Linked DNA regions of Caenorhabditis elegans. The protein of the gene in region 3 purifies or fractionates together with the protein of the main gene of each other region. This does not show direct contact. Each region holds a gene or a part of one and is shown on either strand. Other genes may lie near its edges. The genes, in order: pcca-1, mccc-1 and sir-2.3.

Evidence for each region.
Region 1: the proteins of sir-2.3 (region 3) and pcca-1 purify together in Caenorhabditis elegans (affinity purification with western blotting, with the first as the bait; one study listed by BioGRID). This does not show direct contact.
Region 2: the proteins of sir-2.3 (region 3) and mccc-1 purify together in Caenorhabditis elegans (affinity purification with western blotting, with the first as the bait; one study listed by BioGRID). This does not show direct contact.

The regions. Positions count from the first base shown.
Region 1 is NC_003284.9:7,659,173-7,662,925, forward strand, and holds the start of pcca-1 (Propionyl-CoA carboxylase alpha chain, mitochondrial), read right to left. Parts: upstream 1,815-3,753; 5' UTR 1,807-1,814; coding exon 1,730-1,806; intron 1,678-1,729; coding exon 1,583-1,677; intron 1,533-1,582; coding exon 1,333-1,532; intron 592-1,332; coding exon 1-591. Other genes in the region: dhs-29 (NADP-retinol dehydrogenase), read right to left, coding at 2,824-2,926, 2,969-3,141, 3,234-3,402. UniProt on the Caenorhabditis elegans protein: This is one of the 2 subunits of the biotin-dependent propionyl-CoA carboxylase (PCC), a mitochondrial enzyme involved in the catabolism of odd chain fatty acids, branched-chain amino acids isoleucine, threonine, methionine, and valine and other metabolites.
Region 2 is NC_003282.8:9,882,998-9,886,750, reverse strand, and holds the start of mccc-1 (Methylcrotonoyl-CoA carboxylase subunit alpha, mitochondrial), read right to left. Parts: upstream 2,182-3,753; coding exon 1,990-2,181; intron 1,942-1,989; coding exon 1,629-1,941; intron 1,582-1,628; coding exon 1,294-1,581; intron 1,244-1,293; coding exon 1,073-1,243; intron 1,022-1,072; coding exon 774-1,021; intron 729-773; coding exon 401-728; intron 355-400; coding exon 170-354; intron 122-169; coding exon 1-121. Other genes in the region: prp-18 (Pre-mRNA-splicing factor 18), read left to right, coding at 2,470-2,637, 2,779-2,923, 2,968-3,092, 3,139-3,253, 3,300-3,413, 3,463-3,580.
Region 3 is NC_003284.9:13,329,975-13,333,727, forward strand, and holds the start of sir-2.3 (NAD-dependent protein deacylase sir-2.3), read left to right. Parts: upstream 1-2,039; 5' UTR 2,040-2,041; coding exon 2,042-2,168; intron 2,169-2,220; coding exon 2,221-2,323; intron 2,324-2,517; coding exon 2,518-2,658; intron 2,659-2,702; coding exon 2,703-2,783; intron 2,784-2,996; coding exon 2,997-3,111; intron 3,112-3,162; coding exon 3,163-3,345; intron 3,346-3,601; coding exon 3,602-3,715; 3' UTR 3,716-3,753. Other genes in the region: NAD-dependent protein deacylase sir-2.2, read left to right, coding at 1-50, 510-624, 671-853, 1,015-1,128. UniProt on the Caenorhabditis elegans protein: NAD-dependent protein deacylase. Catalyzes the NAD-dependent hydrolysis of acyl groups from lysine residues. Plays a role in oxidative stress resistance.

The DNA.
Region 1 (3,753 bases), 5.7 Mb from region 3:
GACGGTTCCAGCAGAGTCATAACCGACAGCCTTGGCGAGCTGAACGGCCTGTTCTCCCATTTTGCGTCTCATCTCTGGTGGCACAAAGCTGCTTGGAGCCTCTTCGATAACCTTCTGGTTTCTTCTCTGAATGGAGCATTCACGCTCGTTGAGCCACAAAGCGTTTCCATGCTTGTCGCAGAGCACCTGCATCTCAATGTGCCGTGGGTTGTCAATGAACTTCTCAACGAGCATTCGATCATCTCCGAAAGAAGAAGCTGCTTCTTGCTTGGACAAACGGTATCCTTCACGAGCTTGCTTGTCGTTCCAGGCAACTCGCATTCCTTTTCCACCACCACCGGCAGAAGCCTTGATCATGACTGGGTATCCAATGTCGCGGGAGACTTTCACGCACATATCCTCATCAGCAATTTCTCCGTCATATCCTGGAATCATGCTGACACGGGCTGCGGTAGCGATTTTCTTTGAATGAATCTTGTCTCCCATATCAAGAATAGCCTTAGAGTTTGGTCCGATGAACTTGGCTCCAGCCTTCTCAAGCTCGGCGGCAAACTTGGTGTTCTCGGAAAGGAATCCATATCCTGGATGAACCTGCAAATATATGTTTTCAACGTTTTTAGCAGTTCTGTTTGAAAAACATAACAGAAGACACTTGCAATCTATCTCTCGTCATTTGACTTTGACTATTTGAAAATGAAACACGCGAGATGCTAGAGACTGGAAAGAGACCACTTGGTCACTTGTCACAGAATTTTTGTTTTGTTGTGTTTCGTAGTGAAAGTAGGTGAATATCACGTGCATATTACAAGTAACTGGTTTCTAATATATTACGGTAAATCTTAAGCTGCTACACAGCCAAAAGCTCTCGCTCGGGTTGTCAAACTGTTTGACCCTAGCTTGTCCTCTGAAAAATGCGGTAATTCGTGCTTTTCATAATTTGACCTCACCACAGTTTTCAACAGGCCATAAGAGGGAACTCTAGAGCTTCATCACTTCAAACCCTCATATCTCAGCCAGGTGATATGAGCATGAAAAAATTGAGCATTATCAAAATGTAGGGAATGTTTTATTTCACATTTTTTCAGTCAGCAACTTTTTTAAGCTATTCTCTCCGTTTGAAGTTAAGCGCGAACGCTCTGACTTCTTGAACAGTAGTAGTTGATTTGGAGCGGTGTTCTGAACTTTTGCAAAAACTCTATTCTCTGTCGGATGTCTGGGTAATATGTTTGTGCTACTGTGCATGTAGATTCATGCCACAGAATTTACATTCTCCTCTGATATTTGATTTTTGCGGTTTATCCTTCCATTACATAGACACGTTAGAATTCTTACCGCTTGAGCACCGGTGTCCTCGACAGCTTGCAAGATGCGGTCAGCACGTAGGTAGGATTTGGCAGTTGGAGCTTCTCCAACACATACAGCCTCATCGGCCATCTTTACGTGAAGCGAGTTGCTGTCGACATCTGAGTGAACGGCCACTGTCTTGATTCCCATAGCTCTGGCAGTTTTGATCACGCGACACGCAATCTCTCCTGTAAAATAGACGATTAAATCTAAGATTCTTTTAGATGCTTGAGATTACCTCTATTGGCAATCAAAATCTTGTCGAACTTTGGCTCATTGTAATCGATTCCTACAGTAGTGTAAATCTCCTTTCCCTCACGTTCATCAAGTGGTCTGAAATTGAACCTATTGATCTCAAAACCGAATACAACTTTCAGAAACTTACACTCCTGGTCTGGCAACAGCAGCAGTTGCCAATCCACGATTGGCCACAGCGCGGATACTGGATGCAGCACGGAGCATGGTTCAACCTAAAAACAATGATTTTCATGATAAAATGAACAACGACATCAGCAGTTCACAAAAGAAAAAAGTAAGATGATGGAGAAAAACAGTTTCGTGTATAACTTCGATGGAGAAAGATAAGGACGACCGATTTGATTTGGTCAGTTAAGTGATAAACAGCGATGCCTTGAAAACTCTCTTTATATTGATTATGAAGGAAAACTTCGACTAGTAGAAAAAATAAGAAAAACATGCAGAAATGGCAACTGAGCAACGAAGTAAATAGCCTGGCCAGAAAAGAGAAAAGCAAGAAGTGCGGTGCCCTTGTCCCGCAACAAGATTTTCACAAAAGTTGTCTATCTCTCTTTTCTGATGGACCCAAAGCGCAGTTGCCCCGCTCTCTCTCTTTGCCCATTTCTTGCGATTTTGCACGTATTCGTCCTCTGAACACACACACGCAGAGAAACCGAGAAAATCACCGGGATAGGTTGAGAGTTGGAAAGACGACCTCACAATGTTACAATGAAGAACTTCGAATATAATTCATAGTCCAGTCTGCACGTTTTCTATAATTTTTGAACCGAGAGTCCTACAAAAACTAATAATTTTACAAAAAACGTGTATGCGTGAAACGGAAAATCTAAAGACTCACACAGTAAGTACACTCAATACACAAAAAAAAACGGCAAAATCACCAAAAACAGGGAAGAAAAAAGCCGACCTTCTCTGGCAACAGCGAAGGCAAGAATGACCTGCTCATTGACCACTACATGATCAATAAAACAACAAAAAACAGTCCAATAATGCGCGGGGTTGTCCAAGATATCTCACACAGCAACCTCAACGGAGCGCGTTTGCAGTGATCTTCTCTGCGTCTTTGCACACACTGGCCTTTCTCTCGACATGTTGTTTATTTGAGAATGTTTCGTTGAGTTTCTTCATTTTATTTGATAATAAATGGTCGTTCATTGCATTGGCAAAAAAAAACAAAATTAATACATTTTAGGAACTATCAGACACATTTTCAACTACTAGTCAATTATTCTTCCTCTGCTTGGCTTCGTATCGACTGAGAATAGAGAGTGACGGGAAACCAAGAATAAACGTTTGGACAACCCATTTTGCGGTAGAAGCAAAACTGAAAATACAATTTGTTATAAAATCAACTGAAAAAGTTCACCTGATATTGGCTTTATGGCAGAGATAAAGAGCGTAAAGAGCTTCACCGGCGTGTGCTACAAGGGCGAAAAGGTTGGTTAAAAGAGCAACAAATGGATACTCAGTTCCAATCTTATGGACGAGAGATCCAATTAATGGAATATTAAGTGCTGCTGCTGGATGGGCGTAAGAAATCTAAAAATCAAAGATATAGATCGAAGTGGAAGCTTTGAAATATCTATTTTTATCAAACATAGTTTTTTTTCACTTGAAACCTTAAAACTTACGTAGTTGATAGCCAGAGCTGGAACAATGAGGAGCCACCAGAAGAGTTGTGGAGTTTTGTAATAGTCCGACATTTCAATAAGTGTCAGTTTGCAAAATGATGGATCTGAAGCGGAATACTTAACACCCAAATAATTACGAAGCGACCGGCACACTTGAAGAGAGCAGAAACTGAAATAAAAAATTAGATTTTATCATGTTATCATTAGTTGGCTATATTCTACATAGTGTACGAGAATCAAAAAGTAAGTGGAGATGAATAGTTGGTTTCTTTTTTTTTTGATTCTCTCAAACGATAGAAGAAGGGGTGTCTTCGTGTAATAGAGGAGATACTATCTGAATCAATAAGGACACCAATGGTGACCTCAATAATAGAGCGTGTAAAGACAAACTAGACGCAGACAGAAAAACAATTCGGGCAGCTCTTTTTGCGAATACGAAAAGTTGTACAGTTCTCAAAAAAATAATAATAAGACGCGAAAACAGGGCATTGATTTTTAATTTTTCGCCATTTTAATAAGT
Region 2 (3,753 bases), on a different chromosome or scaffold from region 3:
TTTTTTCAATAATTCCTGGCATTGGTGCGACGGCAGAATGACTGGCTGCTCCTCCGGATAACGAATCAAATGTTTCATGGATTTGTGGAGTTTCATATTCGTTTTGACCAACTCCATTCACCTTAAAGTTAACTTTTCAAAACTATGATTTGTTGAGACACAAACTTACCATCAAACTATTTCCTAGATTTTTAACGACAGTACTCCAGCGCCTGCCATTAGCTTCCAATGTAAACTTGAAAGATCCGTCTGTGGTTGATTCAATGTCGTTGAGAAGTGTTTCATAACTGTTGCCATCATAAGACACTGTCAGGCGACTATCAGAATCAAATCTAATGCTGACATCTTTTCCGTCTGAATTTAAGCTATTTATTTTTCTTTATCAAACTAAACGCGTTACCTATTTTGAAAATGTATTTTGGTGACAAATTCATTCTAAAGAAAGATAAATTCTGGAAGACACCTGCATCTGATTTTTGAAGGGCAGCCAAAGCATGTGCTACAGCCGACTCAACGTAAATTTCAGCAGGAGTTTCAGATTCAGCAAATAGTTCCTTCTGGTGATCAGGGATAAAATCGGTATAAACATTTCCTGCGGCAAATTCAGGATGAGCAAGAACTCTGCGGACAAAGTCAATGTTTGTGGGTAGCCCTGAGATTCTTGTACGAGCCAAAGCACTTTCCAATTTTGCAGCAGCAACAGCACGATCCTGGCCCCACACTACCACCTAGAAAAGGAGATGATTGTTTAGAAGCTGTTCTGAAATACTTACCTTAGCAATCATAGGATCGTAATGGATTGATACTTCGTCTCCAGAAACAACTCCTGTATCGATTCTAGCATCTTCCGGGAAGTCAACATAATTAAGACGTCCCGCAGTTGGCATGAATGCTCCTTTACGAGTATCCTCGGCATACACACGACATTCAAATGCATGACCGTTTAATGGAATTTCTGATTGTTTCAGTGGAAGCTTCTCTCCTTGAGCTACCCGTAATTGCCATTCAACAAGATCCGTGCCTGAAATCAAATTATTTGATAATTTCCAATCTCCCATTATAAAATCTATACCTGTGATAGCTTCACTGACGGGATGTTCGACTTGAAGCCGAGTGTTCATTTCCATAAAGTAGAATTCGCCACGCGGGTCCATGATGAACTCGACGGTACCTGCTCCAACATATCCCACAGCCGCCGCAGCACGAACAGCTGATTCTCCGAGTTTTACACGAGTATCATGTTCTGCAAAAACATTAAATCTCATTTAAAACTTTTTCACGAGACTGACTTACCCATATTTGGCGCTGGTGCTTCTTCAATAATTTTCTGATGACGTCTTTGAACGGAGCAATCTCTTTCCCATAAATGAACATAGTTTCCATGGTGATCTCCGAAAACTTGTACTTCAACGTGTCTCGGCTTCTCGACAAACTTTTCCACGAGCATTTCATCGTTTCCAAACGACTTCTTAGCTTCGTTACGAGCTGAAGCCAGTTTTTCTTCGAATTCAGCCTCGTTCCACGCAATTCTCATTCCTTTTCCACCTCCACCATAGACAGCCTTCAGCATAACCGGGTAGCCTGAAATTTTAAATAAATTTATGTGGGGCTATACTTTAAAAAATTACCGATTTCTGCTGATTTCTTTTTCAAATTAGCATCTGATTGATCTTCTCCGTGGAATCCTTTTACTACAGGAACTTTAGCATCTTCCATGATTTGCTTCGATACATTCTTGGCTCCCATATCCCTGATAGCTTGGGCTGGTGGTCCAATAAAAACAAGGCCGGCCTGAGCACATTTTTCAGCGAATCCAGCATTTTCAGATAGGAAACCGTATCCTGGGTGAATAGCTTGTGCTCCAGATCGCAATGCACTGTTGATAATTTTGTCCATATTCAGATAACTTTCCGCTGCAAGAGGAGGGCCGATGTGGTATGCCTGACATTAAATTCAGTTTAACACTTCACGAATACTATGGATTCTTACCTTGTCAGCTTTTTTAACAAAGAGGGAATTACGGTCTGCGTCAGAAAAAACAGCAACTGTCTCAATTCCCATTTTACGAGCGGTATTTTGGACGCGAATGGCGATTTCTCCACGATTTGCAACTAAAACCCGTTGAATGGGACGAATTAGAGGGGCAGTTGAGGCACATCGTTTTTGGAATACACCAAGCATCTGAAAATAAAAACATATTGGGAAGATGTCTCAATTAAAAAGATATCAAGAAAAAGAGCAGAAAGCGGATGTGGAGCATGTTTCAGCAATAAAATAAACTTTTCTCAATCGAGCGTGTTTGCATTGCGCTGTCTGCGTCTCTCATTTTCTGTCTCTCTATTTTCTTCATTTTCGAATAAAAATCTTAAATTGACGATTTTCATCCGGTTTCCATTTTTTCCTTTATTCCGTTAGTTTCTTTTTTTACTTTATTTTAAATCAATGCTTCTATTATTATTTCTTCAGATAATGGATTTCAAAGCAAAACTACTTGCTGAAATGGCAAAAAAACGAAAAGCCGTGTCTGGAATGGAAGTAAAAGAAGGAAACGCAAAGTTTGTCAAAGGCGCTGATTTAGAAATGAAAAGAAATCAGGAATACGAAAGAAAACAGCAGGAAATAGCTAGTAAGAAACGAGTAAGTTTTCTTTTAAAAACTTCGTTGTAGGAATTTGTCTTATAAAATTTTCTGACACTAATAAAGAAGGATTAGGTATTGCTGAATAATATTTGCAATTAAATTATCATATAGTAAATCATTATAAAAGACATCATTTAGAAAGTTGACGACGAGATACTTCAAGAATCATCCAGTCGAACTAAACCCGCGCCCGTGGAAAACGAATCAGAGATTGATGAAAAAACACCAATGTCGGAAATTCAAACACGTCTTCGCCAGCGAAATCACCCAATTATGCTTTTCGGTTTGGCATTTTCCAAAATCGTATTTAAAAAAATTAATTTTCAGGTGAAACTGATATTGATGTGCGTAAACGCCTTCATCAGTTAGAACTTGCTCAACCTGATCTCAATGAAGGATGGGAAAATGAATTACAAACAGCAATGAAAGTTATCGGAAAAGAAATGGATAAGGTTAAAAATAACATTAATTCAAATTTCATGAAATGAAATATTGCAGGCAGTGGTTGAAGGTACAGCTGATAGTGCAACACGACATGATATTGCTCTTCCACAAGGATATGAAGAAGATAATTGGAAAAATATCGAACATAATTCAACTCTTTTGAGCGTCGGTATGAGATTTGAAATAATTTCTCGAAACTATATTACTTTTTATAGATGACGATTTGAAACGAGATTGTGATATTATTCTTTCAATTTGCCGTTATATACTCGCAAGATGGGCTAAGGATCTGAACGATAGGCCACTGGATGTAAAAAAGACAGCACAAGGTACAATAAATTAAAAAAAAAGTGTATTAAATGTTTATATTTTCAATAGGTATGCATGAAGCAGCCCATCACAAGCAAACAATGATGCATCTTAAAAGTTTAATGACTTCAATGGAAAGATACAACTGTAATAATGATATTCGGCATCATTTGGCCAAGATTTGTAGGTTAGTAGGTTATTTTTTGATTCAACATTATAATTTTCATCGAAATTCACTTAAAAAATAAACTAATTTTATTCAAAATGCGAAAATTATCTTGTAATTGGAAATTTCCGGGGTTTTCAAATGTAGCTGAGCAAAAAAAAAACTAATTTAAATATGGAGTTTTAAAATGGCTC
Region 3 (3,753 bases):
GGCAGTGCTCTTCAAGTAAAATGTACAACATGTGATTACATTGAATCAAGGTACATTGGACTGAATCAACTCAATTATGGAAAAAAAAAAACAATTTCTCAATGAGGAATTGTTTGATAAAAGCTAAAACAAATGATGATTTACTAAAATTGAACAATCACATGTAGCGTAGAAAAAAGGATTGTTATACATATTTGGATTTAAAAAAAACGAAAAGATAACATTTTAACTAAAATGTTGAAACTTCCTCTAAAATGTATCGGTGAACTTCCTTATAACATATTTTAATTAACGTACATTCTTCCTAATTGATAATGTTTGATCATTGTAACTTCATTGACTTTTCGATTTCACTCCACTTCCTGAATGTGTGGAATGGCAGACAATCTAAGAGAGTATGGACGCCTCTTAATGTATCTAATAGGCCACTTCACATTTCGGTTTGTGAACGTAAAAATAACCGTTTATTTTATAAGGGATCTCATAAAATTAAAACGTTTCAACTTCAGACAAACGTACCAAGACCGACTTGATTACGCAAATCCTGGGTTTAAAGAAGAACACGTGGCTCCAGGAGAGCTGGCGCCAGATGGTGACATTATTCTACCGTTGGGAACTGAGAAAGTAAGTGTTTTACGGTGGAATAAGTCGAAAAATACAGTGTTTTCAGGGTTTCCAAATTCCCGAGTGCCCAAGTTGTGGGGGACTTATGAAGACAGATGTCACGTTTTTTGGAGAGAACGTTAACATGGACAAAGTCAATTTTTGTTACGAGAAAGTGAATGAATGTGATGGGATTTTATCACTTGGCACGTCGTTGGCGGTGTTATCTGGATTTCGGTTTATCCATCATGTAAGGCTAATGGGATTTACTGGATGACTTTTTTGGTTATCTAAAAACAAAAACGTTTTGATGTTTCCGTGGGTAGCACAAAAATTAACTATTTAAAAAAATTTCAAACAACTTTTTTAGATTGTTAAGAGTCCTTCAAAAATAAAAATGTAAACTTTCAGGCTAACATGAAGAAGAAACCAATTTTCATAGTCAATATAGGACCTACAAGAGCTGATCACATGGCGACGATGAAGTTAGATTATAAAATCTCTGACGTTTTAAAAGAAATGTAGACTAAGACGTGTAGTTTTGGAATTTGATAATATTGTGTTGACGACAGTTTTTTGGGTACTTTCCGTTTGTATTTTGAAACTTTTTTTTATTGTTTGAATAGAATGGCAATTTGTTTCATGTTAATTGGAATAAACAATTTTTGATGAATATGATTGTGAAAATGCGTTATTTTCAGAAAAAAAATCATCTACTCCTGCAAAAAAAGTAACAAAATTGGCAAAACAAAATCCTGGAATTAGGAGATAGACTCAAATATTTTACCAAACAGCTTTTCTATATTATGAGAATATAATCACTTTTTGTTCATCAAGGATAACTTGCTTAGTTCTTTTTTAAAGTTTATGATTCTTCTTTAGTAGTAGTTTTTTTTTTTAAATCAAGATTCCCAATGGGATGATCATTTTAAACATCGCACCATATTGCTTTGATGACATGATTTAAACTATTTCAACACCTTCGTAAGGTTAGATTTTTATTATCAATTTTGTCAAATATTTTATTTCCTCATTAAACAATTATTTTTAAAACCTTGCTATCAAAAAAATTGTGGACTTTGTTCTGTACCTAGATAATCTTCCAGCTGTTGGTTGGTCTCCCATTATTCTTTCATTTTCGGCGGACCCGCACTCTCTGCCGGCGTTTTCCTTGGCAATACAGGAAGAGGTTACTGGATTTCTCTACTCTACTCTCTCGCCTGTGCAAATAGAGCGCGATTCATCCAAAGATATATTTTTAAGGGTTTTTTGAATGAACGTGATTCAACACAATTAGCTGTAAGATCCGGACTCGAAACTCTTGTGAATAATTTTTCAATAACGTTTATGAATAAAATTAAAAAAAAAACTGTTCTTATTGTTCTTCATTATTTTCACTTGTTTTGACAATCAATTCATCTTCGACAGTATTTTAGGAATGGCACGAAAGTATGTACCACATACGACAGAGCTTTGTGAAAACTCCCTAAAAAAGTTTAAGTCACTGGTAGGGACTGTGGATAAGCTTCTCATCATCACTGGAGCAGGAATTTCTACAGAATCAGGTTTTTTTTCAGGTACAGGTACAATCAGGTACAATATAGTTTTCATTTTCAGGAATACCAGATTATCGATCGAAAGATGTCGGATTGTACACAAAGACTGCACTTGAACCAATTTATTTCCAGGATTTTATGAAATCAAAGAAATGTAGGCAGAGGTGAGAGTACTTTTGAAATTTGTTGGGCCTTACTCTTGCAATTGTGATATTTCAATTTATAAAAACTTTGTGCCAAAGACTTTGAAAAAAGGCTCATAACTGCTCTCACGTATTAATATCATTACAATTTTATAGGTTTTATGATTCAGTAACACATTTTCTTTTTGGCATGCTTAATTATCTTTTGTCTTCAGATACTGGTCTCGTAGCTACTTGAATTGGCCAAGATTTGCTCAAGCTTTACCTAACTTCAATCATTACGCCTTATCAAAATGGGAAGCTGCTAACAAATTTCATTGGTTGATCACACAAAATGTGGATGGACTTCACTTAAAGTAAGTGAAGTTAACAAAATGAAAATATTAAAATAAAAGTTAAGAGCGGGCTCGAAAATGATAACGGAACTTCATGGCAACGCTCTTCAAGTAAAATGCACATCATGTGAATACATCGAGACAAGGTAAGGAATGAAGAAAAATTGGTACTAACTGTTTTGAAATTTGAAATTTAGAACTTTATACTTGGAACAATTTTGAACCAAAACAGGTTTGTACTTGAATGGAATTGAGATAAAAATAGAATGAATGTTAGTTGTTTCAAAATTATTAATAACAAGCAGTTACATATATCTATTTTTGACATTGCTCGCGTAAATCATCTTTTATAATTTCAGACAAACGTATCAAGACCGCCTGAATTATGCAAATCCTGGCTTCAAAGAGCAGTTTGTATCTCCTGGACAGCAAGAGCTAGATGCTGACACTGCCTTGCCGTTGGGTAGCGAACAAGTAAGTTTTTTTTTCAACAATTAGAAACAATTGCATAAAAAAGTTTTACAGGGGTTCAAGATTCCCGAGTGTTTAAATTGTGGGGGACTTATGAAGACAGATGTAACGTTGTTTGGGGAGAACCTAAACACTGACAAAATTAAAGTTTGTGGCAAGAAGGTGAATGAATGCAATGGAGTTTTAACACTTGGGACATCGTTGGAAGTGCTTTCCGGATATCAGATTGTCAATCATGTGAGAAAACAATTTTTTTAAAAATCAGAGCGACTATGTTTTTTAATTGCTGTCAAATACAACAGTCAAAAAAACCGACTTACTTAATCATACCACATTCGACATTTTTGGCAAAATTTCGCTTCGTGTACTAGAAATTCTGAGAAAATATAAAAATCGCTCCTATTGGCTTTTTTTTGAAAACTTTTGGCTACACACTGTTTATACATTCCTAAAATAAAATTACTTGTCTCACTCGTCAAAAATTAATTTTCAGGCCCATATGCAAAACAAACCAATTTTCATCGTGAACATTGGACCTACTAGAGCTGATCAGATGGCAACAATGAAGTTAGACTACAGAATTTCGGATGTTTTGAAAGAAATGTAAAGCAAGATGTGTGGTTTTTTAATTTTTAAGTTCTCATG